Linked DNA regions of Arabidopsis thaliana. The protein of the gene in region 3 interacts with the protein of the main gene of each other region in a pairwise test. Each region holds a gene or a part of one and is shown on either strand. Other genes may lie near its edges. The genes, in order: AT2G28315, AT5G52050, TH7 and AT1G74370.

Region 1 (8,430 bases), on a different chromosome or scaffold from region 3:
ATTTAATATTTTATATACGAAATCAATTAAATCTTAATCACATAAAAATTAGCACAAAAAATGTATTCAATAATTAAAAAATTATCAAATCTCTGTGTTATATAAGTTTTGATACTATATTCGAATAAAGTGTAATATATCTTTTCAATTTGTATTCTTTAACTAATTTAAGCTAACTTATATAGTTGCTAATCTTATACCTATCAAAACCGACTATCGTTTCTTATCTCTATAGTATTTTTGCAAGACTTTTTTGGTGGATTTGGATAAAAGTGCATTCGGGTCATATGGTACAGTCTCCTATTAAATAAATATGGTGCACTCATTTGTTATTAGATAAAATGTTTAGATTATAATTCAGAGTCATGTCATTAATAAAATTAATATTAATAAAATAAATGGCTTTTTGGCAAGACGGATTTGGAGGGACGGGTTTTTGAATCAACATTAATAAAAAAGTAAAATATAATTAATCCACAATTTCAATACGGATTAAATCTTTAATTTATTATATTTTAAGACCACTAATATTAAACATATCAAATCATCCTAATTTAGAAAAGGTTATATAAAACCAAAAATGTTATGTGGTATGTATAATGTTATTATATATAAAATTAAACTATAAAATATAAATGTATTAGAGAATGATACAATTTGCAAAACTTTTATATATAAAAAATAATTCTTAAATTTTAAAAATTACTATTTTTAAAAAAACCACGGGACGGGTAAAGAAATTACAGAACGGGTTTTATTTTGGAATTGGGTTATATGGTAGATGTATTTGAATCAATATTTATAAAATTTTGAAATATGTTTAATATGCTGTTTTAATAGGGGTTAAAACTTAAAAATTTTAACAATTGTCTCATGGATTCGTGGTATAGCGTTACTTAATAACAATTATAAACTGTAAAATATAAATATTTTATAAAATTAAAATTTACAAGTTTTAATATATATTACTTTCAAAAAATGAAGATGGAAAACTGGAGAAATAAATTTATTAGAGTGAATGATGATAAACTTTTTTTTTCCTGTTAATTGAAGATAAATCCTCACCACCTGTGGAGGAGTTCAAAACTAATCTCTGGGTAGATAAAGTTTTTTAAAAAATAGTTCACATGTAAATTTTTGTATAAATCACATATTTAATAGATTTAGCGTGGTACATTGATCATATACAACATTGAAGTATTAAAGTAACTATACTAGAGTAATATTAATTTTTGTACTCTTTTCTCGGAAGTGAGCTTGTTGTGTCTTATTTATCAATGGTTAATGTGCAAATTGCATCAGACTCTTATTAGTATTCTTATCAAATTTTCCAAATATCTATCTTCTCCAAAGTGGATAAAATAGTATCTTGCTTTTAATTTTAAAATACTGATATTAAGATATTATGCTTGAAAACATATGGTTTTAATGGGAAAGTGGCACAATTTTAGATTATATGTCACTCAGTGGCTCAAAAACAAACAAATGAAAAGTCATATAGCTCATCTGGGTGGTTTGTACCCATCAAACACTACTTTGTTATAAACGCTTTACAAGATATGTTATTGGGTAGAAAATCAAAATAAACATATCACAACAAGAGGTAAGACAAAACTCTTGGGAGCTTAATCACATTCACATACAGAAACTACTTATACTAAAATGCAAGCCATAGTTTTACTTTATTTTGCCAACTCCTAAATTAACTAATTCAATATGAGTGGAGACTTAAAAAAAAAAATGGCTAAAGAAAGTGAAACCAACCAACAAAGACAAGGCATAGTCTCTGAAAACACATGGAGACAAAATAGTAATCTTGAAAAATAAGCATTAGCGTTGATCGATTGAGAAATATGTAGAAACGTATCACAACATCGTTGGACAAAAGGCCAAAACTGTAGTAATTTGTAGGAATAAGTCATCATCATATAATTTGTTTAAAATGATTTTTAGTTGGATTGTTGGTTGTTGCAAACAAGTTGGCCTATTGATGAAGATTGAAGACCATTTCTCATTTATTATTATTATTTTTTTTTTTTTGTCATTCGTAACTTGCAAGTCTCACAACCACTAGTTTTTAATTAAAAAAATTATTCGCTTTTAAGGGAAAGTTTCATTGCCAATTCTCTTTGTAGGTCCATAAGACCATAACATAAAAATGTTATACATATACTATTCATGGAAAGATAAAACAACAACGACAACGTAGCATGTGAACAGAGGATGAATTCTCGTAAACGTTAGACGTAACGCACATGTAATATTTAACAATATACATATCTATATGTATATATGTTATAAATTGCATTTAAATTTTTTATATGGAAAGGAAAAATAAGAGCATAAAGCATTTCAATTATTAGAAATTTCTGGTTCCTGTTATCCTAAAAACCGATAATAATTATATGCATATGTCAAATCGCCCATCATTTTTCTTCCATAAACTCAAAAACTTCATAATTTATCACATTTTAATCACCGAAAAGTCCAAAACCGTTTTGAAACTAATTGTATTTTAAACACTATTTAGTACTATACTATTTTATTTTATCTTCTTAATAGAAAACAATCATTTGATCATTTGAAGAACACTAACATAAACCAAAGAACACGTACGAGAGAAAATAATTTTATAATCCTTGTAAGATCCAAAAAGGAGGAAATGAAATAGGAAATGTAAATATAAAAAAGAAGAGAAAATGCCCATTGGCTATTTCAATTTTTTCTCAATTACAAAAACATTATCAATGAATGAACAAAAAAAAGGGACACAATTATAGAGTCGAAACATAAAGAAAGAGTTATTGTACTATTTCATACTGGAGAATGCTTGTCTAATTTCTTGGCTTCATGATGGTTCTCATTTTCTTGTCCCAAAAGCGGCGTCGTATCTCTATCTTTCCCCTGTCAAAAAAGGAATAAAACCAAAGTACTTAGAAACTTTCAACACTCATTATTTCTATCTTTTCTTTTTGTGTGGTTAACGTACAAGAAAAGTGGAATCGGAGGAGGCTTGTTTGGATTTAGAAGCAACTGAGCAGAAGTAGGAGTAGAGAAGCATCCCGAGGACAGCGATGAGTATTCCTGCGATATTACGAGGAGTGAAGGGATCGTGAAGGAGAGTGTAACCAAATGCGAGCACCAAACACGTTTTGAGATGTCCCAAGACTTGGTATGTCACCGGAGATGTCTTTCCAATCACTAAAAACGTACTGAAGTTAACCGAAACCGCTATCAAACACGACAACGTTATGAACCCCTGCATGATTCATCATTGTCAAATTTCACAAAATTTTAGTATCTATCTAGGGACGTTATGATACAATCATGGCTCAACATGGGCACGGCTCTAAGGGGCCATGCGAAAATGGGCTGGACCGATCCAGGACAATGATTCTAATTCTATTTTAACACCAATTGGGAATAAATGGAATTAACGATGTAAAAAATTACCACGACGATGGGAGAGTAATGGAAGGAGAAAACATTGAGGCTAGTGAGGTATTTGTCGACAAAAGGACCCGAGACGAAGAGTATAGCAGCTTGGAACGGGGCTGATTGGTATAGGAGTTGTGTTGATGTCACGTTCAGTCTCTTCTGGATAGTGTTTGTTAGCTTCACCACAACATTTTCATAGTCATATTAATTATACTATGTATTAGTTATTAAACATTAGTTTAATGAAACTTAAAGCATACAATTTGGCCGACGCAAGTTGTGGCAATGGCAAGGAGAGATAGAACAGAGCCAACAAAATTGAGCTGAAGATCTGTGATTGATGCTATACCAACCCCAACTAGCAGCAAAAACAATGAGAATTTTATCTTCTGGCTGCAAAACCAAAATATGTCATTCAAAAAAAAGTTATTTATGTAAACAATAAAAATTAAAATAATCTTATGTATCAAGTTTGGTTCACCTGAACTTCTTGTTGAGGAAGAGGGTTTCTAAAAGAACAGTGAATGGTATGATAGCAAGTTTGGTCATCTGCCATTAGTTATGGACAAACATCAAATTGGTGAATCATATAATTGTTACATGATCAAAAGTATGTCGAAGATATATACTTGATAGAAGCCGATGGAATTAAAGCCGAGGCTGAGATTGAGGAGACCAATGGAAATGCCATTGAGGAGGCCAAAGAGAACAACAGTTCTCATGTCTATTGGTTTATTCTCAAAGAAGTTTAGTTTATATGCCACATGAAGTGTGCAATATGTTACCATCAAATGCCAACTAGTAAGTGTTGTTGCTGTAACAAAACCATAGCAAAAAAGCGATCAATCCTAAGACGAATAATCGGGTTTTTGATAAAGATCTTACAAAATATATTCTCACAAAGCAAAAAAAAAAAGTACTAGTAATTACCAAAAGGGAAACCAAGATTGGTCATCAAAGCTTTGTTGCAAATGACAATGGAGACAGAAGATGCAACTGATAGAAACAATGCTCCAATCACACCCATTTGCATACTCTTCATCTCTCCCATTTTTTCTTCCTCTCTCTCCTCTCAAATCTTCAAATCTATCAAATGAAGAGAGAGAAAGAGAGATATATATTGATGTGAGAAAAAGAGAAGGATTGTGAATGTGATGAGTGATGAAATGCAAAGGTGATATAATGAGATTTTTATTATTTGTTTGTATAAAAATGGTTGGTGTCTAACACCAAACTTCTGTTCTTCCTAATTTCATGTTTTAATAATTATGACATTTACATAATTACGCACAAGATACATGAGAAAAACTATAATGATGTTGCTTAATATTTGTTTTTCCTCATAAGAGACTTCTACTAATGATATGATAGCAAATTCTTAACCATAAAAAAGACTCTGAAATGAAACAGCCAATGGAGGGAGACATTGTATGGTTTTCTATGGACAAACAATTGACTTGAACTAAAAGCAAAAAGGAAGGTGAAACTGAATTTCTCATACTTTTTCTATTGGGCAAAATATTGTAAAATAGAAACTAAAATGAAAATTGAAATTATTTGGATTTGGTGTAAAGCTTCACACTCACTCCAAAGTCCATACCAATACCCTTCTCTTCTCCTTAATTTCTCTACCATTTACGTTACCTATTGAGAGCAAATATAAAATAGCCAATTTATGAAATTGGGTGAAATAGATAAATCATGAAACTGGTTATAAGTCTTGTTTTCTTATTGTCTTTTCAGAAGTCAAAAAGATTATGTAATAACAACCACTTCTATTACACCTTTGTTTTCTAAAGTTTTTTTTTTTTACATGTTTCACTTCTCTCTTGTTTAGTGAAAGCAATTTCTTTTTAAAAACATCTAAGAATTTGAAATGGAGAAAGTAACAAACAACATAATAAAGCTCAATCAAAATGTATAAATCTTACACAATATCAATAAAAAGGGCTTCACACATGTCCTATGAAAACCTAATTTAGTGTAAAATATTTGATATACAAAAGTAAAAGTTTTTTTAATATATTAATTATATAGAAAGAAAAAAGAAAAACAAATCTAATCTTTCACCATCTTCCCAAGATACTCTTTATCAGCATCAGCCAATCGGTTCTGAAACATTGTCCATTCCATTTTGCATCTATCTCTCACTCCTTGCCATGGAGCTTTCCCATTCTCTGACTTTCCTTGACTTCCAAGTGAAGGTATCACTTTATGTATTATCCATTGCGAATCCACAACACCAATCTTCTCATGAGCAGGCTGCAAAAGCAAAACACACAAATTTTCATCATCAGTCAAGAGAATATTGTGTTATTAAGGTAAGCAAGGGGGGGGCAAAAACAACTTACTTCAACGCATCTTCTAAGCGCAAAGTCGAGACCCCATCCATGAACCAGATCATTCTGCATCAGAAACATAAACAAACTGATCAAAACAACAAGCATTATTTTGATGGACTAAGACTAGGACTATGTATCTACAGATCGACGAACCTGAATCATATGCCACACACATCGCCATGCTTCTCGAGAAAATACAGGCGCCATTATTTCAACAAACCTGTGAGAGGGAATTTTTTTCAGAAAACTCAGTACTGACAATGACTAAACACTCTTGAGTTGCTCTAAAGAGAACGTTTCAAAGAGAGACTTACGCGGCACATGGAGGTAAATGTGGGTCTTTACACCATCCTGGTTTCTCTTTTGTATCTCTGTTCAACAGTAAGTAACAACACATTTCTTAATTCAGAACCAAATTTGAAAGAAAGGCAAAGAAGAATGGTTAGAGAAGGAGATCTTACTTATGGACTTCCCGGTCACCTCTCCTCTTTGTCATTTCCCATGTGAGTCCATTGTTAGGCTCTAAGCCTGGTTGAGAAATCTCTAAACCATGCTTCTTAACTAACTCAATGTACCTGAAGTTTTAATAGAATTCCATCACAAAATGTAAAATATAAGATTGTTCTGCTACTTCAGACAAGTAATAACTTACTTATCCGCATTGAAATGCTCCACTCCAAGATCTTCATCCCATATAAATATGTACTCATAAGCTGACACAACATCAGGATGCAAAAACCTCTTCGCGTACCACCTGCCAAAACCAGTAGAGAATTTCGATAAAAACATACTCGACAAACATACTTAATAACCGGTAAATGACCAGATGACTAACCATTTTGTTTGCTTTCTTGTACTAATATGAATCGCGCTCTTCGACCACTCAAATTGGTCCCATTCAGTTGTCCGGCCATCATAATGGAAGAGCAAAATTTGGAAATCTTCAGAAAACTGAAGATATGACAAGAAAACAAAAAATCTGAGTGTATCCACAAAGAATATATAAAACAATACTTGCTAAAACACATGCTGATATTGCAGAACCTTCTTAACAACTCCATTAATATGGTTCCTCTGCTCAAATCCAACTGTAAATGTCACAAGATATTTTGGCTTCTTCTTCAAATCCTGCAAAGGTTATTGTTTTGACATTAACTATTCTAATGGCCTTCAGAGATAAAACCATATATATTGAGAAAGTAAATATAGAATGAGAAGTCAATACTTCATTAGGTTCTCCCCATAATCTACGCAAGTAAAAATCAGTTTTCGCCACAACGATTCCTGGAGGTAGTAGTTCTGCACCACGCGGGTTAGTTGGAACATATATCTGCAATCAAACATACAGAAACGATACATTTCATCTGAAATGAGGCACTATTCTAGAACATAATCGAAAAGCTAACGAAAGGGAACCGAACAAGAAGTTTATTATATACCTCAGGAAACTTTCTTGAACCGAAATCTTCAGGGGATTTGTCACCAGATATGGCTACATCAAGAGATGATATAAGGCGCGAGGGTAAGTTAATCTGCAGGAATACGAAACAAAATTCAACAGGTGCAAAAATGAAAGGGACACATAAAAGGACCTATGAAAAACAAAACTCATACCTTAAACGAAAGTGAAGGTAATGTGATACCAATAAAAGTCCCAAACACTATCCCCAAAATAGTAGTAATAATAACCTTTGCATTTTCATTCGTTCTTCGAGGAGCACCACTGCAAAACTAACCACTAAGTAGTAATCTTCATATTGGAAAAAAAACTCTTTTTTTTGTATTACAATCTATCAGTTAAGGAAATTATACCTGCGGTGCATTGTTCCCATTTAGTTAGAAATATCTCCAAACACTCTAGTCAACAAAATTGAGTCACCCCAAATTGTAAAAATTCAATCTTTTTTCTGCAGTAGCTTCAAAACGCAAACATAATACTTCAGAGAAGATATATATCACAGTGATAACTAATTGTAATACTGATAGCTAAAACAAGGCTACATCGAAAATCAAATTCAGCATAAAAGAGATGAAATCGCAAATAAATCTTGAAAATAAAAATGAGATTACTTACAGGCCTTACAGGATTATTAGATCCGGAGACGCCGGTGAAGAAAGCTGAGAGATTAGAGCTCTCAGAGGAGATTCTCCGATCTGTGAGAGCAGAGAGTGATAAAGAGTGTGACAGAGAGAAAGAGAGAGAGATTTGGTGGAGAGGCCTATTTGCGTCGAATTTTTGGAGGTTTTTTAAATTCTTAAAAGGCCCAAACTTTTTTGATTAATTAATCAAAAGATAAGCTCTATTATTAGGACATTACATACATTTGTTCCTGTCTTTTTTTTATTACACAACTCATTTATTACATTCTTTTGGAGCCAACAAGATTTGAAAATTAAAACTGGTTTTTCTTGTTTCTAAATCTCGTAATCAGTCAAACTTAACTACTTTCATTTGTGACAACAAAGGAAATAGAATCATTAAGAAATATGTGTTGAATAAGAAGAATAAGATTACTGTAAAGGAAACATATGGGCTAAGTTTGGGACTGAGCCCATAGATGGTCCATGACTCCATGTTCTGATGTACATGCAGCAACTCCATGATTGGGCTTAGAATTATATTTTTTTGAAAAATTGTTACTTGGCTTTT
Region 2 (8,496 bases), on a different chromosome or scaffold from region 3:
TCCCAACAAGTTTAATAGTGTTCATGAAACATGCAAGGTTAACGTCAACAAATCGTCCATAAATACTACAAAATGTCTAATAAAAGAATGATATAGCTTTGCAAGTCAAATTGAATTTGAAAGGGCTTTCACTGTATGTTTCTCTGCTTCAAATTGGAATTGAATAATTTGTCGACTTACTTAGATTGAATAGAGTATATGATAAAGTAAAATAAAGAATTAATATGGAATATTAAAACAAGGAGTGTGACGGTCCCAATTAAACATGGACCGTTGGATGTGTAAGCCGTAAAATGATGATGAATCCCATTTGGCTTCAACTCCGCTTGTTGTTGCTTTTCACCCAACAAGTCGCTTCATTTCTTTTGACTTTCACAACCTAATTACGGCTAAAAAGATTAAAGACAAACTTTTGTTTTGTCTCTTTTTAATATTCTTTATGTATAACAAAATAGTAGGAATCTATTATTGTGATTATCTTCGGAAAAAGGAAGCAAAAGAGTATATCACTTGTCATAGACTCATAGATCACAAAGTTTACAACTAATAATATTTCATTAAATATTGTCTTTGCTGGAAAGATAGATTGAGTAAGAAAATGATAAGATGGAAAAAGGGAAACGAGAAGTTGGTTACGAATTTATCTCTTAGAATCCAATGAATTTAGTTGATATTCATTGACACATCATCTCGTACGTGTTACTATTGAAATTCTTTCTTGTTTTACATTTAGATATTGAAATGTTATCAAACTATAATATTCGTTTTTACTAAAATCTTTGTCGTTTTACTAAAAGTCAAATGTTGATGATTCGTTTTCAACCAAATGAAGAAATGTTATAAGTGAAAGGAATCGATATTATCCTTCATCTTTCAACTTTAAATAATCCTACACACTGTTTAAATATTGAATTTGGACATAGTAAAATCTATAATTTAACCTAGAGCACAAAGTAACCAATACGTTTTACTACTAGATTTATCATCATGATCAGAGCAACACGTGTTATAAGGAGTAAGGTTCTTCATTACAAAACATCCAGAATGAGATGAGATCTACCGAAAGGCGTTTTAAATATTTGACTCAATCCACTTTAAGAAAAACATCATAAAAACAGCAGAAATAGACAAATAAATGTATTAATTCATGCTTGTATTAATATTCTTTTGTCAACATATGGACAGCCGTATAGTCCCGTAGTAACTACAAGAGAAAACAATTATATAGGACAAAATGGTACGGCAGAAAATTTTGCACGACGAGTTGCAATCGTCGACAAGATAAACATGACCACCTCCCTTTTCAATTCCAAAAGTATGATATGAGTATCTAAAGGTTAAAATACGTATATATATTTTTTATTATACTTTAGTTTCTATCGATTAGAATATAGATGTCAGTAAACGGTATTATTGTTTGTTGTGATATATATGAGTTTTTTTTCCGACTACACATTAGTTTAAAAGATCACTGATAATCCAAAGTAAAATCCAACTTGTAAAATAACGTGTCAATTTTTTTTTGAAGTGTTCACATATAATTGGATTAAAAGTGTATACGTCTCTAAATGATAATTTATTCGACTAAAAATGATGGGCCATGTAAGAATTTAGCAAAACTAGTAAACCTGAAAGGTATCATTACAATTTACAAATGAACCAATATAAACACGAGAGACCGATGTAAAGTCTTTGTCATCAAACTTATATTTGTAACAAAAGAAAAAAAATCTGTTCAGGTAAGGACAAAGTAGATTTGCAAAACATCACAACTAGAAAAGAGAATTCAAATAGGAAAATGAGAATGTGTATGGGCATACGTTAAGTCCCTTTTCTTCAATGTGTTATGCAAGGTACAAATTCAATTCAATGAACTGAAATATTAATACAATGAATTAGACTCAATATATTCTGTAACTTTCTCACTCTTTCACGCACTAGTTAAGGAATTAATGGCTTACTTAAAAAATAAACAATCACATAATGGTAATTTAATGTACCTTGCTTCATGAGGAGTTAACCATTCTGATTGTTTACGCACGGTGCTGATGATCAATTTCGCAATGTATAGATACTTGTATACAAAAATCAAAGATATTACCAGAATTTTTTTCTTAAATTATGTTTATATCATTTACCTTTGTTTTTTTTTAAAACAAAATTTCAATAGAGGTTTTGTCGATTAATATCAAAAAGAAATAATTTAAACTTGAATGTATTATACAGTAGAAACATCATTAAATAGCATTCAAAATGAATAAAATTTGTAACAGTTAGTTCTTGTGTTAGTTTATGTATAGAAATTTTAGCGAAGTATAGTTGTTGACCCAAAAAAAATGTAGGAACATATATAGTTTTCTTTGGTCCCAAAACGAGTTTATTTTTTGTTCTTCAGTGTTGAACACTATTTTGCTCGAACATGTCTGGTCAACGTCCGACCAGCCAATTCCACTTCATAGTTTGCATATTAACGAACTTCCATCTTTTTGCTGATTACAGCTTTCATTATACCGTTTAGATTTTTCTTTTTTTGCCTAAATAAAAAAATATGACCCTAAACATTCGTAATTAATAGAAAACATTAAATAAGTACGATACAAAAGACTGAATCTCTATAATAATAGATTGAGACCATATTCTTGTGAGATAAATAAAAGATTGAGACCATATTCTTGTGACAATTGGTATACAATTAGGTTACAAATATTCTAATCCAAATTTAATTTCGAGAACATAATCGTGTGAGTAACGATAAACAATTTCATTTTGTTTACAAAGATATATGATATATTGCACTTTTTAAAATCTAATATGCTTACTTTTTTGAGCTGTCATTAATCCCCAAACTCCACTTTGGGATTTTTTTAAAAAGTCTAATTCAACGCGTGGGGCACACCGTGTGTAAACTTCGACTTTGAAAAGTTATAAACAGAAAATGATGTTTTTTAAAAAAACAGGGAAAAAAAGAGAAGTTTCTATTTGAAATAGGTTCAAAACCCACTGGCCAAGTACTTTGTTAGTGGCATGTTTATCATGAGAATATATTTGACCCGTCCCTTGTTTCAGTTTTGCTATTACGTTCCGTGTCAGTTAATTTAAAACTCTAATCATATCTTATTTGATTAAAGAATATAGTGATGATGAAAAGTTATATTTTGTGTACTTGAATGTTTGAGTTGGGCCTCGTCTATCATATGGCAATATCTCCTTTAAGTGTGTGAACGTAAATTACCAATTTCAAGGTCCTCCTCTTAACGTAAATTATCCCAGCTCTCAGGGTTTTTCAGCAAGGGAATAATATAACAATCTAATTAGTCAAAAATTGGATCAAGTGCTAGTAAATTATGCTTGGTTTACTAATCTTTCCTCATTCTTTTTTCCCCATTTTGATTTATGAGGATCACGTTTAATGTAAGGTTTAAATTTCTCAAACCAGAGCTGGTTGTCATCGTTTAAATGAATCTATATGCATGTATTCTATTCCATTAGAAATTATACACACGTAGTTAACTGTAATTAGCTATAGTTAAATCCGTACACACCGTTTTTTCCAGTTTGAATCAGTATAGTGATACATGATATAAGTATATAACATGCGTATAATCAACATACATGATTTAGACAAAATATATTATTATTCTAATTTTTGTCATATAGATTTTGATTCACATTATAAACTGTATATATTGACAAGAAAAAAAAAACATTTGACAAAAGAAGAAAATAATAAACATTTTTTGAAATCATGATTTTGAGGTGATAGTCTATTTATACTAATACTAATGATACTATGTGTCAATGCATCACTAATACATCTTCAGATTGAGTAGAAACCGTGTATATGGATTTAACTCTAGTTAAACAACAAGAACATACAAATTTGAATGTAATAAGCGTGTAACCATTTGACTTGAAAATAAAATACATATGACCAAATTGAAAATAATAATATTAAAATCCAGTGCAACGAAAAAAATAATATGTTAAAACAATAAAACCCACTCACTACTTTCTCTATATAAAGCCAAATGCTTCAACCAATCTTCTTCACACCTACAAATCTTCTTCTTCTCTCTCTCTCCCTCTTCCTCTGTCACACAGATATTGACAAAAACAAAAAGAATGAGTCAATCAAATCGTGTCAGAGACGAAGTTACATTACCTTTACTCCAAAAAACCTCTCATCTGAAAAATCACTCCTCTGTTCTCTCTGTTTTCCTAAATGAAGCAATCTCAATCTGCAAAATCTCTTACCCATTGGTCCTCACTGGTCTCTTCCTCTACGTTCGCTCCTTCGTCTCTCTGTCTTTCCTCGGTGGTCTCGGTGACGCCACTCTCGCCGGTGGCTCCCTCGCCGCCGCATTTGCAAACATCACCGGATACTCTCTTTTCTCCGGTTTAACCATGGGCGTTGAGTCTATCTGTTCACAAGCCTTTGGAGCCAGACGCTATAACTACGTCTGCGCGAGTGTCAAGAGAGGAATCATCCTCCTTCTCGTCACTTCTCTCCCTGTTACACTTCTTTGGATGAATATGGAGAAGATTCTTCTAATCTTGAAACAGGACAAGAAGCTCGCGTCCGAAGCGCACATCTTTTTGCTTTACTCTGTTCCAGATCTTGTCGCTCAATCTTTCTTACACCCATTAAGAGTTTATCTTCGGACTCAGTCAAAGACTCTTCCTTTATCAATCTGTACAGTGATCGCGAGTTTTCTTCACTTGCCAATCACGTTCTTCCTTGTAAGTTACCTCGGTTTGGGGATTAAAGGAATCGCTTTGAGTGGTGTTGTGTCTAATTTCAACCTTGTCGCTTTCCTCTTTCTCTACATCTGTTTCTTCGAAGACAAGCTAAGTGTTAATGAGGACGAGAAGATAACAGAGGAGACATGTGAAGATAGTGTGAGAGAATGGAAGAAACTACTCTGTCTTGCGATACCAAGTTGTATATCGGTTTGTCTTGAGTGGTGGTGCTATGAGATTATGATTTTGCTTTGTGGGTTTCTCTTAGACCCTAAAGCAAGTGTTGCTTCAATGGGAATTCTCATCCAAATCACTTCTCTTGTGTACATTTTCCCTCATTCCTTGAGTTTAGGAGTCTCCACCCGGGTCGGAAACGAGCTTGGTTCTAACCAGCCAAAAAGAGCGAGAAGAGCAGCCATTGTTGGACTTGGTCTCAGCATCGCCCTAGGGTTTACGGCTTTCGCGTTTACTGTCTCGGTTAGAAACACATGGGCGATGTTTTTCACTGATGACAAAGAAATCATGAAGTTGACTGCCATGGCTCTGCCAATCGTTGGTCTATGTGAGCTCGGGAACTGCCCGCAAACTACGGGATGCGGTGTTCTCAGAGGCTCCGCGAGGCCGAAGATCGGAGCTAATATTAATGGAGTGGCGTTTTACGCGGTTGGCATTCCGGTTGGAGCAGTTTTGGCGTTTTGGTTTGGGTTTGGATTTAAGGGACTTTGGCTTGGGATGCTTGCGGCGCAGATCACGTGTGTGATTGGTATGATGGCGGCGACGTGTAGGACCGATTGGGAACTTGAGGCGGAAAGGGCTAAGGTGCTCACAACGGCGGTGGATTGTGGCAGTAGTGACGACGACGCCAAGGAGGATATGGAGGCTGGGATGGTTGATAAGTAGGGAGGAATGAGTCATGAGGAGGTCTTTAACAAAAACAAATTGACTTTGTTTTGAATTAGTTGATAACTTTTTTCTTTTATTGAGAAGAGATTCGTTGGAGGATTAATGTAAATTTTGTAGTGTAATGATAACACAATCTAGAGATTCGTCGTTGTATTCAAGGTTTTTAAATTCATAAGGTCAAATTTTGCTCAAATCGCTTAAACCTTTCTTTATTCGACAGAATTCAGTTACATTGTATGTTTTGTTTAGTGTAACGATTTTTTTGGACGCAGAATAAATCTTGAGAAAATAAATAAACTAACCATTGACCTTACTGAAGAAAATCAATAACCATGGGATTGTGGGTGTCTTTGTTAATTCAATCAATATAACAAACTAAAGTAGCACATGCGGACGAAATGTAAAAATAATGGGGGATTTTTTTTTTTAATATGCATAAATAATTATATAACTATATTTAAATAACTGCAAATAAGGTGTGTACAAGGAATTAAATTCACATATGTATTATAACCATAGTCGACAATTTCAAATATACATGTTTGATTAATTAGCTTCTAGTGATGCTTCGAGGCAAAGTATATCCCTCTATGTGATAGATCATTTACACATCAATTTCTTCCGTGGTAAAATAAAATAGATAAAACCTTTGCGATTATTAAAAAAGCCATAACTATGGGATCATGGTTAGTTTGTGTTTTCTTTTACTTTGGAAACTCCTGATTTAAATAGAAAAACATTTAACATAAAAGAAAAAGCCTTTATTTACACACAGAAGTTTAGCCAATCACTTACTTCTTTCCAAATGCTGCTCACAAAAATAAGTTTTTTCATATTTTCATTAGGATAACGTCAAAAATATCATTTATTTATTTAATAAATCTTTTATCGCTAATTTTATTTTCTATTTTTTATCTTTTTAATATCGTTTATCGTTACATATAATAACTTTAGGCAAATATATATTTAACATTAATTATTTTTTTGCACATGTTTAAGCTATTCGCCAAACTAACATGTCTTCACTAATATTGGCATATATAATTGTCAAACTGTTATAATTCTAGAAGTTGTTAGTTCGAATGACATTTGAGAAGAGACTATATAAAATGTTCTGGAGATGGTATATTGTTCCAAAGGATATACGGATATAAAGCCATAACTTTTTTTAGACATTAAAAACAAGAATAAAAAATTTGTCAAACCATTGGTCCGCTGGTTTCACTCCATCACCAAATGACAAATGATTCAAGTGATATCATGTGTCCAAACTTTAGGTTAACACAGAACAATGAGAAATCTTTAACCGAATTCTAAACTCATGATACATGAACTTGTCTCCAATTCCACATTATGCATCATAAAATGGTTTGTTAATCGTTATCCTACAAAACAACCTAAAAGCTATAAACACTTGAAAAATTTTAAAAAAGTAAAGACTTTTTTGACTCATAAAAGGACTAATACCAAATTTCATAGTTCCAATTTTGAACAAAAAAACACAAAAAACACATGAGAAATAATAACTTAAAAAATCTAAGAACATATGTTGCCTCATAAAAAGACCGATACAAACGTTAGAAACCGCCAAACCGGTAACATATTGTACATCAGCTACCAGATCGTTGATTAAGAATTAAGATACCGGTATAGTCGATGTAGCCTGCCTATACAGACTCATAATCGACCTGAACCCCTTATTATGTGCAATCTAAAACAAGTGTTTTAAATCAAAAGACTAACTACAACAATTTTTTTAATCTAATAATACATTTGTTGTTTGCTATTATAATATAAGTATTTGATTAATAAAATACGAAATAGAGATTCGTATCCACTAAAACTAGTAATATAAGTTGTGGGAATATCCTCCCTTTTAAGTATTTCAAAGGGCACTACAAATTTTGTCTTTACAAAACAACCAAAGTGGATAAATAACTCCATGAGGCACTTCAAAAGTTTCCATACATTAGTTTATTTGTACTTGTTTCTTACGAAATCCCTGTCTTCATGGGAGATTCACTTATGTGATATAGTTTCATTTCTAATTAAGATATTCATTATTGTTTGCAGTACCCTATAAACTAATCAAATGATGATTAAAATTCATTAAAAAAAAAAAAAAGAGTGATTAAACAAGAATGAAACGTGGGTTATGATCCTTAGAAATGAACTACATTATGGATTAGTGTATTAATTTATCTATTTCTTAGATATAAACTAACCAAGGAATTACACAGCACCTTTTTTCTTAACGTGGCAGCTTACAAGAACTGAGAAAGATTTGGTTAGGAGACACATGCCAAGAATCACTCATGTTGGAGTTTTAATAATTTAACACGTACAACTCCAAAATTTTAATGAGCGATAGGGGGTACTTAATTACTTCCTAGGATTGAAGAGCCAATTACTTGTTATTTATTCTGTCAAATTGCTAATTCTTATTGAGGTTTCCACGTGTATACAGAATATTTGACATTAATGCACTGTAGCTAAAACATTATGGAGTTAATAATATTAATAGTAATTTTCGAAAAAGGTTTCAAACCCAGTTATTTGATATATTGTGAAGAAAGGTCTCACATCAGAGATGAAAATGGATTTGAGTAATACATAAAAGACATGAGTTAATTTATTTATTGCCAAATTGATTTAGAATTGGAACCCCATAACAAATTAACATGATATCAAAACATGAATACATGTTGATCCGTTAATACGGTCCAAACAATAGCTCGATCACTCCATGTATGAATGGTTCAACGAAAGCTCTATTCCGTCGAAATAAGTAAAAATGCATTTACATGTTTGATGCTCCACCTAAAAGGATATTTGTAGTAAGAATTAGGTTAT
Region 3 (7,505 bases):
CAAGATGATATGAACTATTTTATTGTGATTGGACCCTTCATGAAACCTTTTTCATGCTTGGAATACCACTTGATTTATAAAAAAAATATTAACAAAAAAAAAAAGAGAAATTAATTGAGCTAGCAGTCAAAAGATTTATCAAATTTTTGAATTGCCATCAAGGCATCAAGTCAATAGACTGAAAAACTAATTGTTTAATAAAAAAGAGAATGTTAAGCGATACCAAATTAATACGAAACATCCAAAGTTATCAAAAATAAATATACGTATGCATCGAAAAATTCCATGAATATGTCATGTACGTATTCTTACGTAAGCATACACGTATACAGTGACTATAGAGATACGTGAATACTTATGCATGGGTAAATATAGTATATATAAATTACGTGCGCAATAAATCGATATATACCTCATATTTTCTGAAGTTATATATATATTTTACCTCATAAGTTTTGTTTTTTTCTACCTCATAAGTTGTAGTTGTGGACCTAAGGTTTTATTCTTTTTATACGTTTTAGAATCCATGAGAAAGCGAATGTTCAATCTACACCACACCAGTTGTTTTGTTTAAACCCAAACTTGATAGTGAAATGTTGGATACGTCATAAGCCAACATAAGCCATAAGAAAGGAATTTAACCTTTGGAAAAACATAGAAAAGGAGAATGTAACCAAAAAGTGGCATTTGTGATTGTGAGATTGGGTTGAACATTGTTGAAGTTATTTAATGGGGCTTTAGTAAAGTATGGGCTAGGGCCAAACTTGGACAATATAATCCAAATACGAGAGAGCTAAGTGGTGTGAAAGATTGAACAGACGAAATATGTTGTACCTTAAAATCCACAATGTTCTTCTTCATTATTTTAGATTAGGGTTAAATTTATCTCTCGCTGTGCAGTTATTAATTCTTTTGTTACTATGATGAGATACGTGAGTTAGCAACTTGATCCTACGTCCTGTTTGTTTTCAGTGTTTTTCGATGTGTTAGCGAAGTATGCTCTAGTGTATTTAGCCTAATTAGGTTTTCAACATAAGGTGGGCTAATTATTAGGATGCGTCTAATTTTGGCCAGCGATAAATGACAGTGACCAGCAGCAAAACTTAGTTCATGCTATTGTCGTTGTTTTAAATCTACCACATTTAATATTGCTACTTCTATAATCTTTATCCCCTGGCCTCAAAATAATGTCATCCAATCCAATTTCATTCATCCACACTTGATCTTTTGCATATCAGTCTACATATAGAGTCAAACATAAATTATTGATAGTTCCTTGAAAACAATCTTGAAACTCTTCATAATTTGTTTTTCAAACAAACATTTTGTGTATACTCCACAAATGGATTTTAATCTGTACCTCATTTTTTTCTATGTTCGTCGGCGTACCTAGTTCATCATATGCACCTACTTCCTTGCTTAGACTTCTCGTGGCGGCCACATCTTGTTTTTATCATAAGATGGTCATTTAGCTAAGAAGGTTTGTGATTCAAATCACCGTATATTTCAAGGAAAAAGCACTTGCACTTGTATTTAAGAATCGTTTCTTCTGCTCTTGTATCTTTTTCACACTTTCTGTTTGCAAAAATATAACTAACTTTATTGAACTATTATACAGAACTATTTTATAAGTAACTGTAATATATTGCTTAGTAGCAGAAAAGTAAATACAGAGGTATTGAACTAATTGTGTTACTCTTCCTACATAAATTAAAAAGAGAGAAAATCAACAATATAAAATTGTATGGATACGATTTCATGGAATAAAATTCTTTAGATTGTGGAAAAACTTATATTAGAATCTTTATAGATCGAGCTAGGAATAAAGAAATATGTGGGTAGCAGAACTCATGCAACCTTTAAGAAAGTCATGTGTAATATTATCGATAAATTATGATTAAAAAATGAATAAATTCAAAGGCAAAATCTAAATTAAAAACGATTTTCTACACATGTTTAAATATCTAAACGTGATTAGTTTACTTTATGAATTACCAGTACAATAAATATTTGAGAATTCTTTTAAGTCTTAAACTACACAATTCCAAAATTCCAAATACAGTAAAAGTAAGGGAAAGAAAGTCTTAGGAAGGGTACTTACAAATTTAAGAAGTATTCCTTAATGTTTTCAGTTTTCTAAAAAACTTGTTGTATTTCTTTGATAACGCCTTCATATATATATATATATAATATATATATATGCATATTTTGATCCCAACATATATATATTTAATGTTTTATAAAGCATACTTTGATGCAACATTTCTACAAGTTTTTTTTAGTTCTTATAAAACAGTGGTGTTTCAATTTTATTAGAAATCAGACCAAAAAATGGTTTCAAATTAATATTTGCAAATCGAGATCTTAAACCCCAACAATATGTTCTAAAATTTAAGATATTCGAGCATCACCGAACTGTATTTTTGAATCAGCATTCCTAGTTCCTTGAGAATGAGAATTATAAGAGGATGATGTGAAAGTTTATGGGCAAAAAGTTAAAGATGATGTTCGTGGCTACGACGTGCATTTCTTGTCCCCCAGTATCGAATAAATTGTTAATTTCAAACTCATTTTCGACAATGATTCCTATAAGTACTGAAATGGAATAAGAAGGACCTTGAGGAAGAATTTGATGACAGCTTCTTTTTAACACAAATCAATATTCTTACACACGGACACACCAAACAACATTACAAATTTACAATGACATGCATGGTCATTTTGCAAATTTTTTTCTCGTTTTATTCTAATCTAATTTCGTTCTGTAAAGTTTTATGTAAATGTAAATTAAAGATTTCAGTAAAGACATAAGAGTATCACCATCAATTAGGAAAAAAATAAAAATGAGTTCTCATTAGAAACTCTCCTGCCATGTGACATTTTTATTTTTATAGTAATTAATAGCATTAATATTATATAGGTATTAGATCCTTGAAGTGGATGGTGCATATATTATTTAAACAAAACAAATTTTAACTACTTTTAATTTATAGCGTTGACAATAACTAATTAATCTAAACTAATAAATCAAGTACCTAGGCTACCATTTTTTAATTAGAAAATCGATCCGCCGCGGATTGTTATCCACCCACAAAAATAAAAAATTCGTTTGCAAATGTGATAGGCAAGCTAGTTCCTTGCAACCAGCTATATTTTTATGTAGTGGAGAATATTTAACAACTAACTGGAATTTTAAAAACACAAAGCGAAACTAAATTGGTATAAGCTATATATTCTTGAAAAAATAAAAAAATCAACGGCTAGAACTAAAGAAGGATAGCAAATTGAATCATATTCCTTTGCATTTACTTATTTATTTATAACCAACAAATTAAGTTCTCCGATTAAAAGCTATATAATGCTCCTCCTTGTCTCTCTTCTTTGCATATCAGTATATCACTAGCAAATAAGTGAACACCATTTCTTCATACATACACATTCCGAAGATAATGGGTTCCAATGTTTCATCTGTGCATGATGTTCATTCATCAATGGAAATTACCAGTAATGGATTTGTTGTGGAAATCGAATCAAGAAGACAATGGAAATCTCTCTTTGATTCCATGAAAGGCTCAAACAAATTGGTATACATTACTCGAAAACTACCTAAAACGTATTAAATTTTTTTAACCAAACTTATAATGTTTGTTTTAAATCTTATACTATTTGTGTTTTCTAATTTTGTTTACAAGTAAATGACATGTTTTTTCTCTTAAACTAACTGAAAAAATTATTGTGGTTTTGAAGCTAGTAATTGATTTCACAGCTGTATGGTGTGGACCTTGTAAAGCAATGGAACCTAGAGTTAGGGAGATTGCTTCAAAGTACTCAGAAGCTGTGTTTGCTAGGGTTGATGTGGATAGGCTAATGGTAATTACTCTTTTTTTTTATTACTTGAAGAAGAATCATCTTATGGTTTCAAGACTAAGCTATAATTGGTATGTATTCCAGGATGTGGCTGGGACATATAGAGCTATTACACTTCCAGCTTTTGTTTTTGTGAAGAGAGGAGAAGAGATTGATAGGGTTGTTGGAGCCAAACCTGATGAGCTCGTGAAGAAGATTGAACAACATAGGGTTTAAGTTTTTTCTTTTCCCTTACAAAAAAATGATTATTATACTTTTGAATGTCTGTTCTGAATTGATTGTTTGAAGTTGGGTTTCTGGTTTGTTGTTTAATTTCTCAAAACAATATAAATAATAATGTCAAAAATGAAAACAATTAACAAAAATGTTGTAGTTATATTTGTATGAAATCTAATCACCCCAACGTAAGCAAAACAACATAACAATGGTAATGTGAGTATGGCGACTAAAAGAACTATACCATAAAAAAAAAAAAAAAAGAGTCCCATTCCAAGTATATGTTAAAATACTAAATGGAAAAAAACAAACGTTACATAACATTTTCGAAGAGCTTGTATGAAGTTGAGAGTTACATATATAACTTATGAAAGCAGAATAAATTAGATAACAACAAAGATAGCTTTTACAACAAAAAACAATCAATTCTGCTTACTATTTCGTGATCAAGATATGAGATCAAAAACGAAAACCGATCAATTCTGTATATGTATGTACACTGAATTGACCTTTTGAATTCAAGAGCTTTCTTGAAACTAGTTGCCAATTCAGCTACCACCAAGAACTCTCTTGAGATCTGTCTTCTGTTCCGATGTTAGCCTCGAGGGGAAACATATCTCAAAGTTGATTCTTAGATCTCCTCTCTTTGAACCTTCTTTAGAGATGGGCATTCCTTCACTAGGAATCACTATCTCCTGACCCGGTTTAACGATATCCAAAACCGGGATAGTCAGATTCCTCCCGTCTAGTGTTGTTAAGCTAAGAGTGATCCCTGTTAAAGCCTCCAAAAGCGAAACTTTCTTGTCTACAATAAGATCGTTACCGTCTCTTTTGTAAACCGAATGCGGTTTCTCATCTATAACAAAGATGAGATCTGCGGGAGTAACACCGGGTTCTTGGTTTCCTTTCTCTGGAAAAGTTATCTTAGTTCCTTTCTTCCATCCTGGTGTTATATCTATCTTCAAGATCTCTTCCACTGGCTTTGACTTTCTGATATCAAAACATGAATATATATTGATCACAACCAAAAAAGCAACTAGGCTTAGAAAAATCAAACGTAGCAACAAGAAAATAATTAGGTACATCAATCATCAAACAATATCAACATCACTAGAGATAAAAACGCAATTAAACAAAGGAAAATTGTCAAAAAAACAAAAAAAAAAACCAATAATAACAACAACATTAAACAGAGAAAAATAAAGAAAACTTATCAAAGAAAAATGTCAAAAACACAACAATTTGGATAATTGTTTCGTCTTGATTACAAAATTTTACCATCAAGATAAATCACAAAAACAGAGCATATATACAGAGGATTATCCATTGACTCATACAAGAAACCACAAAATAATTGGTCAACACTTTTCCAAATATAATTTACGTAATCACGAACTACTAATATAACGAACGAAACTGAATGAAAAAAGGCGATTTCATTTAGATCATGTGTTATGAAATACTAACCCAAGACCATCAGGAACAACGCGGGAAATCTTCATCTTCCTCCTCCCACCTTTATACAACTCCTCAAGAGTACAAGCCAATTTACTCTCAATCGCCGGAGCTTTCCTGTTCACCGGAGTTTTCCTATTCGTCTGACTTCCCGCCTCCGCACTTTTAAACCTCCCGCCACCGCCGACGCCACCATCAAAGACTTTCTCAGATGCACCGAAAAACTCAGCGAAAATATCTTCAGCATCACGTGGATAATACCTAAACCCTGCATTGTAATTATTGTTGTTACCAGAAGAGTAATTATGTTGTTGAGACGACGCCGTTGCTTCTGTCGCCGTAAGTCCGTCTTCACCATATTGATCATAGATCTGACGTTTGTTAGGATCGCTTAAAACATCGTAAGCTTCGGAGATTTGTTTGAACTTAGCTTCAGCTTCTTGCTTGATTGAAGTAGGGTTTTTGTCAGGGTGCCATTTCATTGCAAGTCTTCGATACGATTTCTTTAGATCGTCTTCCGTTGCGCTTGGATTCACGTTGAGTACATTGTAGTAATCAACCCCCATTGACAAGAACAGTTCGAAATCGCTACGAAGCTTCAGAGGACGTCGTTGAGAAAGACGAAGACAGAGTAATGAGAAGAATCAAAAATGAAGAGAAAGCGTGAGGAAGGAGATAATGAAGAAGAGAGAAGTGGTGGTGTACGTGTATGTAAGAAAGGTAGAAGAAGAACATGACAAGCATAATCTTTGAATACTTTAATTGGAACCTTTATTCTGTTTCAAATATTTGTTGTTATTTTATTTGTAATCTTATGTATTATATATTATAGATACAGATACATTTATAGTTTATAGGCACAATTTTATTTTTAAATGAAAATTGAGTATCTAGAATCTTCTATTTGAATCTTTTTATTTGGCATCTCACCATTATTTCTCGTCTCTCTGTTAATTTTTGTTGTAGATTACTGGGGCTTATAATGATTTATCAAAATGTTAATCCCTTAACGTGATATTATTAGTTACATTATATTAATCTTCCATACTTTAAACTTGTTCAATTTTTCTTTAAGTTGTATCATTCTGAGTTTTATTTATTGATTTCTCTTTCGAATTGGAAGACTGTACATTGTTCATTTGTTGTTCTAAATGTTGAGCTCCTAACCTGAAATTTCTCAAACTCTCCTCTCCAATAATTACGTGTAGCTATAGGGTGTTATGTTAATGCCTTGGTTACATGACTATCTGACACTACTAATTTAGAAGCAAAACCTCAAAGCTATGTTACTAATTTAGAAGAAAATAGTATTTTAAAGAAGAAGCTAATTTGTAAATAGTATTTTAAATTTTATACAGGAAAACTAAAGTGAAGTAAATTAATTTTAATTTTCTGGTTTTCTCAAACTTATTTTAAATATTTTTAAATTATATTACACATAATAAGAGTATGTTATCACAATAAAAATAATTAAATGATTAAAATAAATTTCTTGGGATTATATTTAAATATCTTTAACTGGATTATATATAGATGTTTAATATGTGGGTTTTGTGTATAAAAAAAACCCTCAAAATCTTCAATTTTTGCAACTTTATTCTCCATTTTCAAAAAATGCAGAATATTTCTATGAAATCCAAAATCAAAGGCAATATAGTCATTTTTGGCTATTTTCAAGTTTTTCAAATTTTGTTAAATAATATATTAATTTGAAGCCCTCAAGAAGAGGAGTTCAACTCTAATTTGAAACCCTTGAGAAGAGGAGTTCTCTAAATCTTTTAGATCTTTTCCCTTGCATATTGCCATATAGGTGAGAATATTGTATATTGAATTCCTAGTCTTATTCATTTGTAATTATAATGCTTCAAAGGTCCATAACTTGAAAAAATACTTGCATGTCAATATTATTAACTTATCATGAACACACAAAAGAAGGTTCAATGATAAGCGGTATCCACAAAACCTAG
Region 4 (7,761 bases), 6.0 Mb from region 3:
CTAAAACTTAGTTAAATAACACTTTTAAATCTCTGGAGAAGCAAATATATCTTTTAATGCTACATAAGTCACATTCACCATATATTGTATGTAACGTAATTTTTAGATTTACATTATGCAAAAGTTTTATCTATTATCATAAACTTACCAACTCTGACACGAAGTCAAACTACTCTGGACCGGTCAACTTAGATGTCACAACTGCTCACCTAATTGTTGCCCTCGCGAGTTAACTTAAATAAAGTAATCTAATTTTATGGTTTTTTTAACCAAATCACACGATTAAAATTTCTAAACTCACACATACTTCAATATATATAAGTTCAAACTGTCAAAATTTATTAAATGTTACCCACTAGGATAAGTTCTTGAGTGCGCAAGTGGTACCGTACAAATTAAAAGAAAAGCTAATGGTGAATCAAAAACAATATTTGTAATTGTTTACTTTTTCTAAGGAGAACTAAAATGAGTTATGGTTTAGTTTTAGTCATATGAGACTCATCTAGTCGATAAAACATCAATTTTGTTTTTGTTCTAAACGACTTCAAAGTTCAATTTTTGAAATATTCAACAAATGCGGTATTTTTCCTTAAGAAATTTTTGATAAAGACTAGTAACGTAATATATACGTTTATACGGGTCAAAATTAGCATAATATGATGACTCAATTTCACCTTTTTGTAATTAATTTTTGTGTTTGAGGAAAAGTCTAATAAATAGGAATAAATCTGTGTGATGTTCAAAGTTTTTCAGTTGCTTGGTCTACGTGCGGGCTGCTTTGTGTTTTTTTCCAACTTCTCTTTTTCTCAAATCTCTTTCCACACATGAATTTCCATGAAATTCATCTTCTTCCCCGATAATTTCCACATCTTCTCGAGGAACATCGCAGAGGACAGTAAAGAAGCAAACCAAGAAGACCAAGTGGAGGAGGACGATGACTATGGTGACGCGTGTGATCATGACGGATGATGATTCTCAGTCACTTTGCTTTCTTTGTTTCTTACTCTTCTTTTTCATCACTGGTAATTTCTTCTCTTCTTCTGTTGTTTGAATTTGAGTTTCGTTGAGAGTTTTTGGGAATTGTAATGTCTTCTCTTCTTGAGTATGAGTTTTGGGTTTCTGTTTCTTTCACGTTTCCTTCAAATGGGTTCAGGGTTTTAAAATTTGACGTGATTTTTTGGGGGTTTCATTGCTTTCATCAATTCAAGGTTTTACATTGTACGTAAATGAATCGCAAAGTTTTAATTTTTACTCTGTTTGATGTCGTTGATGAGTATTTTAGCTGAGTTTTTTGATGTTTTTCTTCTATGGCAGCTATAGCAGTGGCTGGAGATTCTCTGGACAGTGATAGAGAAGTCTTGTTAAGCCTAAAATCGTACCTTGAATCACGGAACCCACAGAACCGAGGACTATACACGGAATGGAAAATGGAGAACCAAGATGTTGTGTGTCAATGGCCTGGAATCATATGTACACCTCAGAGAAGTAGAGTTACAGGGATCAATCTAACTGATTCCACCATTTCAGGTCCTCTATTCAAGAACTTCTCCGCTTTAACGGAGCTCACATATCTCGATTTATCAAGGAATACGATCGAAGGGGAGATTCCAGATGACTTGAGCCGTTGTCACAACTTAAAGCATCTGAATCTTTCTCATAATATCCTTGAAGGAGAGCTAAGTTTACCCGGGTTGTCAAATCTTGAGGTTCTTGATCTTTCGTTGAATAGGATTACGGGTGATATTCAGTCTAGCTTCCCATTGTTCTGCAACAGTTTGGTTGTTGCAAATCTGTCGACCAACAACTTTACTGGAAGAATCGATGACATCTTCAACGGGTGTAGGAATCTCAAGTATGTTGACTTCAGTTCCAATAGATTCAGTGGAGAAGTGTGGACTGGTTTTGGGAGGCTGGTCGAGTTTTCAGTTGCTGATAATCATCTCTCCGGGAATATCTCTGCTTCAATGTTCAGGGGGAACTGTACTTTGCAAATGTTGGATTTGTCTGGGAACGCTTTTGGTGGGGAATTTCCAGGCCAAGTTTCGAATTGCCAGAATCTAAATGTACTGAATCTTTGGGGAAACAAGTTCACAGGGAACATTCCAGCTGAGATTGGTTCCATATCCTCTCTCAAAGGTTTGTACTTGGGGAATAATACATTTTCTCGAGACATACCGGAAACTCTCCTGAACTTGACCAACTTGGTGTTTCTGGATTTGAGCAGAAACAAATTTGGAGGAGACATTCAAGAAATCTTTGGGAGATTCACGCAAGTAAAGTATCTAGTCTTGCATGCAAACTCATACGTAGGAGGCATCAATTCTTCCAACATCCTCAAGTTACCCAATCTTTCAAGGCTAGATTTGGGCTACAACAATTTCTCGGGACAGTTACCTACTGAAATTTCTCAGATACAGAGTTTGAAGTTCTTGATTCTTGCTTATAATAACTTCAGTGGCGATATACCACAGGAGTATGGGAACATGCCGGGGCTTCAAGCACTTGATCTCTCCTTTAACAAGCTGACCGGTTCGATACCAGCTTCATTTGGGAAATTGACCTCTCTTTTGTGGCTAATGCTTGCAAACAACTCTCTATCAGGAGAAATCCCTCGAGAGATTGGCAACTGCACAAGCCTTTTGTGGTTTAACGTGGCAAACAACCAGCTCTCTGGTAGATTCCATCCTGAATTGACTAGAATGGGGAGTAATCCTTCTCCAACATTTGAAGTGAATAGGCAAAACAAAGACAAGATAATTGCTGGTTCTGGTGAATGCTTGGCGATGAAGAGATGGATTCCAGCGGAGTTCCCTCCGTTCAACTTTGTATACGCAATTCTAACCAAAAAGAGTTGCAGAAGCCTATGGGACCATGTTCTCAAAGGGTACGGTCTCTTTCCTGTCTGTTCTGCTGGTTCCACGGTACGCACGCTTAAAATTTCAGCCTATCTTCAGCTCAGTGGAAATAAGTTTTCAGGTGAGATTCCTGCAAGCATCTCTCAGATGGACAGGCTGAGCACACTACATTTGGGTTTCAATGAGTTTGAGGGGAAACTGCCTCCAGAGATAGGACAATTGCCTCTTGCATTCCTCAACCTTACTCGAAACAATTTCTCGGGCGAGATTCCTCAAGAAATCGGAAATCTGAAGTGCCTGCAGAATCTTGATCTGTCTTTCAACAATTTCTCTGGAAACTTTCCAACGAGTTTGAATGACTTGAATGAGCTGAGTAAGTTCAACATCTCATATAACCCTTTCATTTCTGGCGCGATACCAACAACAGGACAAGTAGCAACCTTTGACAAAGACTCCTTTCTTGGAAATCCGCTGCTGCGGTTTCCTAGTTTCTTCAACCAATCAGGGAACAACACGAGGAAGATTTCCAACCAAGTCCTAGGAAACAGGCCAAGAACTCTTCTTTTGATTTGGATTTCCTTGGCTCTTGCATTGGCGTTTATTGCATGTTTAGTGGTATCAGGTATTGTACTTATGGTTGTTAAGGCTTCAAGGGAAGCAGAAATCGATCTCTTAGATGGGTCGAAAACCAGACATGACATGACTTCCAGTTCAGGTGGATCATCGCCATGGCTATCAGGAAAAATCAAGGTCATTCGCTTAGACAAATCAACTTTCACATACGCTGACATTCTGAAAGCAACCAGTAACTTCTCTGAGGAGAGAGTGGTAGGTAGGGGAGGCTATGGAACTGTTTACAGAGGCGTATTGCCTGATGGAAGAGAAGTTGCAGTCAAGAAGCTTCAGAGGGAAGGCACAGAAGCAGAGAAAGAGTTCAGAGCTGAAATGGAAGTTCTAAGTGCCAACGCATTTGGAGATTGGGCACATCCGAACCTCGTGAGGCTATATGGATGGTGCCTAGATGGGTCAGAGAAAATCTTGGTGCACGAATACATGGGAGGCGGGAGCTTAGAGGAGCTCATCACAGACAAAACAAAACTTCAATGGAAGAAACGTATTGATATAGCCACAGATGTAGCAAGGGGATTAGTGTTTTTACACCACGAATGCTACCCTTCCATCGTTCACAGAGACGTCAAAGCCAGTAACGTTCTTTTGGATAAACACGGGAATGCGAGAGTGACGGATTTTGGACTAGCAAGACTCTTAAATGTAGGAGATAGCCATGTGAGCACAGTGATTGCAGGCACAATCGGGTATGTAGCTCCCGAGTATGGACAAACTTGGCAAGCCACCACAAGAGGAGATGTTTACAGCTACGGAGTATTGACCATGGAACTCGCGACGGGTAGAAGAGCTGTTGATGGAGGAGAAGAGTGTTTGGTCGAATGGGCAAGACGTGTAATGACAGGTAACATGACAGCCAAAGGTTCACCAATAACCCTGTCAGGGACCAAACCAGGGAACGGAGCTGAGCAAATGACTGAGCTACTAAAGATTGGTGTGAAGTGTACAGCTGATCATCCTCAGGCAAGACCAAACATGAAAGAAGTTCTAGCTATGTTGGTTAAGATATCCGGTAAAGCAGAGCTCTTCAATGGCTTATCTTCACAAGGTTACATAGAAATGTAAAAATCTTTCTTTCTTTTCTTCTTTCAGATTTATTATACAGAACAACAGAGTTTTCTTCTTCACCATTTTTCGTTTCATTGTTTCTGATTCTTCTTGTACACAGAACCTCATTGTTATCAGACAGATAGGGATAGAGAAAGGTAGTTTTGTTCGCAATGTACAGAGACACAATCTGAAAATAAAGATCTTCTCTTCTTCTTGTCTATATTGAGTGTAAACAACGTTGGCTCTATCTCGTGTTTCTTACAAGTCAGGAAACATACAGGAAGAAAGAAACAGTACAATGAGTCAGGTTGCAATCTCTCTGATCAGCCAGTTTAAGCTCGGGAAGGCAAAATAAAGGACGAGAAACGACGGGACAGCCAAAGCAAACGTAACAAAGAAATAAACCCCGAGAACTGCAGCACTCACAGGGATTGCATATAAAGCCATCAACAGGAATATGACTACCAGAGGAAACTTAGCCAACAAATGAGCAACAAGAGCCATTGACTTACGTACCGAGTCATGGAGCCTCCCAGTTCTGAAGAATCCTCTGGTCACACCATTCCACCAGCTGCGATTGTCCAGCAACCCTTCATCACCCAAGGCGGTATTACTCACTCCATCACACCTATTTCTCAAGTCTCTCTGCCCTGAAGCAACCCTTTTGTTGTCGCTGGGTGCCTCCGATCTGGAGCCATTCATGCTTTCTACCATCCACAGAAGGTAAAAGTTCTTGGAAGGAAATCTGATGGTTCCATTGCAAACCAGCCTTAAAGAGAGAATATTGCACCAAGGGCAAGCAACGAAGAAGGGAAGCTGGAATGGTAAAGCAGAGGATTTGATGACAATGGCACGTTGAAGCCCTAAGAGACAGTACTTGCAGATTGTATGACCACACCATAAGACATAAGGTACATTCTCAACAACGTTGAATGATTCCCAGCAAATGGGACACTCCAATTTTTCTTCCTTTGTTGTCTTTCTTCCATCTCCTGATCTATCTAAAGTAGCTCTTCTTGGTTTTGTAGCAGCTTCTTCTCCCTTCGATATAAAACCTTCTCTGATCGATTTTGAAGCTAAATTCCACATAGCAATGGAGGGATCCACAAAGATAATCACTTTGAATCTTTCTCTCTGCAACAAGAAAATCACACACACATACACTACATAATCAGATATGAGATTTACAATCCAACCCCCAAAGATTGGACCGAGAACATACAAAAAGTAACGAACTTGATGAAACCCAAGAAATCATTAACAGAATTACAGAAAACGAAATACACTTACAAGAGTTTATCCGGTCATGAAGATGAAGATCATTGCAAAAACAAAAAATGCAACAGCTACGTCGTTGAGTTATATAATATCTCCGAAGCTCTGATGTAACCAGCGAGAAGAAAACCGGCTGAAAAAGAGACACGCGTCGTAAAACATGGTGACTCTGAAACGCCTTTCAATGTTTCCGCCGCCCCCACCGATTTCCTCACCTTATCCGTTTCTGTTTTCAGGTTTAACTACCAAAACGCATCGTTTCACTATACCGCCAAAATTAAACTACCGGTTTAGTTCCGTAATTTTCTATTACCGAAATCGGTTAAAGTAAAATAGTAGTTGTCGGTGAGAGTGAGCTGTACGCGTTTCTTCTTCTCCTTGTGCGCTTTCTGGATCGAACGAAGCATTTTCCTCCGACAATATATTTTTAAGTAATGACAATGTTTCCGCATTATTGGGTTTAATTCCATTTTTAAATTAGGGTTCTTCAGATCGACAAATCTTTCTCTTTCTCTTTCCCCGATCGGAATCATGCTAAAGATCTGAACTTTTTCTCAGATCCGTGAATAAGTAAGTACGGAGAGACAGAAACATACTCAGACTGATCTGAGGAAAACAAAGTTGATGGTCGCAAACCTGTAAGTGAAATCTATAGAGAGAGACGTTGAAGAAGAAAATGGGTCAAGATGGTTCGCCGGCGCATAAAAGACCATCCGGAAGCGGCGGAGGACTTCCGACGACGACGTTAACCAACGGTGGAGGAAGAGGTGGTCGTGGTGGTTTGTTACCTCGAGGTAGACAGATGCAGAAGACGTTTAACAACATCAAGATCACAATTCTCTGTGGTTTCGTCACAATTCTCGTCTTACGTGGCACTATCGGTGTTGGTAACCTAGGAAGCTCAAGCGCCGATGCAGTTAACCAGAACATCATTGAGGAGACTAACCGGATTCTAGCTGAGATCCGATCTGATTCGGATCCAACCGACTTGGATGAGCCTCAGGAAGGTGATATGAATCCCAATGCGACGTATGTTCTAGGTCCTAAGATCACGGATTGGGATAGTCAACGTAAGGTATGGTTGAATCAGAATCCTGAGTTTCCTAGTACTGTCAATGGCAAAGCTCGAATCTTGCTTTTAACAGGATCTCCTCCTAAGCCTTGTGATAACCCCATTGGTGATCATTATCTTTTGAAATCTGTGAAGAACAAGATTGATTATTGTAGGCTTCATGGAATTGAGATTGTGTATAACATGGCTCATTTGGATAAGGAACTCGCTGGCTATTGGGCAAAATTACCAATGATTAGGAGGTTGATGTTGTCTCATCCAGAAGTTGAGTGGATCTGGTGGATGGATAGTGATGCTTTGTTCACTGATATACTGTTTCAGATCCCTTTGGCTAGGTATCAGAAGCATAATCTAGTGATTCATGGTTATCCGGACTTGTTGTTCGATCAGAAGTCGTGGATTGCTTTGAACACAGGTAGTTTTCTGCTGAGGAATTGTCAGTGGTCGTTGGATTTGTTAGATGCTTGGGCGCCTATGGGACCTAAAGGGCCAATTCGTGATGAGGCCGGGAAGGTATTGACGGCTTATCTGAAAGGTAGACCAGCTTTTGAGGCAGATGATCAGTCAGCATTGATCTATCTCCTGCTTTCTCAGAAAGATACATGGATGGAGAAAGTGTTTGTGGAGAATCAATACTATTTGCACGGGTTTTGGGAAGGTTTGGTTGATAGGTATGAGGAGATGATAGAGAAGTATCACCCGGGATTGGGTGATGAGAGATGGCCATTTGTGACCCATTTCGTTGGGTGTAAACCGTGTGGTAGCTATGCTGATTATGCAGTCGAGAGGTGCTTGAAGAGTATGGAGAGGGCCTTTAATTTTGCAGACAATCAAGTGCTCAAGCTGTATGGTTTTAGCCATAGGGGATTGTTGAGCCCCAAG

The links.
Region 1: the proteins of TH7 (region 3) and AT2G28315 interact in a protein complementation assay, tested with the Arabidopsis thaliana proteins (one large-scale study listed by BioGRID).
Region 2: the proteins of TH7 (region 3) and AT5G52050 interact in a protein complementation assay, tested with the Arabidopsis thaliana proteins (one large-scale study listed by BioGRID).
Region 4: the proteins of TH7 (region 3) and AT1G74370 interact in a protein complementation assay, tested with the Arabidopsis thaliana proteins (one large-scale study listed by BioGRID).

The regions. Positions count from the first base shown.
Region 1 is NC_003071.7:12,084,955-12,093,384, reverse strand, and holds AT2G28315 (Nucleotide/sugar transporter family protein), read right to left. Parts: upstream 4,719-8,430; 5' UTR 4,490-4,718; coding exon 4,369-4,489; intron 4,253-4,368; coding exon 4,068-4,252; intron 3,988-4,067; coding exon 3,920-3,987; intron 3,832-3,919; coding exon 3,699-3,831; intron 3,616-3,698; coding exon 3,454-3,615; intron 3,260-3,453; coding exon 2,990-3,259; coding exon of another isoform or gene 2,981-2,989; exon of another isoform or gene 2,905-2,980; coding exon 2,815-2,904; 3' UTR 2,620-2,814; downstream 1-2,619. Other genes in the region: AT2G28310 (trimethylguanosine synthase (DUF707)), read right to left, coding at 5,497-5,700, 5,790-5,843, 5,934-6,000, 6,095-6,151, 6,242-6,355, 6,433-6,534, 6,616-6,731, 6,825-6,908 and 4 more. UniProt on the Arabidopsis thaliana protein: Nucleotide-sugar transporter that transports UDP-xylose and UMP in a strict counter-exchange mode.
Region 2 is NC_003076.8:21,134,811-21,143,306, forward strand, and holds AT5G52050 (MATE efflux family protein), read left to right. Parts: upstream 1-3,892; 5' UTR 3,893-4,122; coding exon 4,123-5,640; 3' UTR 5,641-6,066; downstream 6,067-8,496.
Region 3 is NC_003070.9:21,949,337-21,956,841, reverse strand, and holds TH7 (thioredoxin H-type 7), read left to right. Parts: upstream 1-3,361; 5' UTR 3,362-3,449; coding exon 3,450-3,584; intron 3,585-3,747; coding exon 3,748-3,870; intron 3,871-3,951; coding exon 3,952-4,083; 3' UTR 4,084-4,245; downstream 4,246-7,505. Other genes in the region: AT1G59725 (DNAJ heat shock family protein), read right to left, coding at 4,632-5,073, 5,551-6,104. UniProt on the Arabidopsis thaliana protein: Probable thiol-disulfide oxidoreductase that may be involved in the redox regulation of a number of cytosolic enzymes.
Region 4 is NC_003070.9:27,953,365-27,961,125, forward strand, and holds AT1G74370 (RING/U-box superfamily protein), read right to left. Parts: upstream 6,037-7,761; 5' UTR 5,823-6,036; intron 5,667-5,822; 5' UTR 5,622-5,666; coding exon 4,836-5,621; 3' UTR 4,722-4,835; downstream 1-4,721. Other genes in the region: AT1G74360 (Leucine-rich repeat protein kinase family protein), read left to right, coding at 935-1,022, 1,315-4,547; XXT5 (xyloglucan xylosyltransferase 5), read left to right, coding at 6,484-7,761; AT1G74385 (uncharacterized protein), read right to left, coding at 7,361-7,606.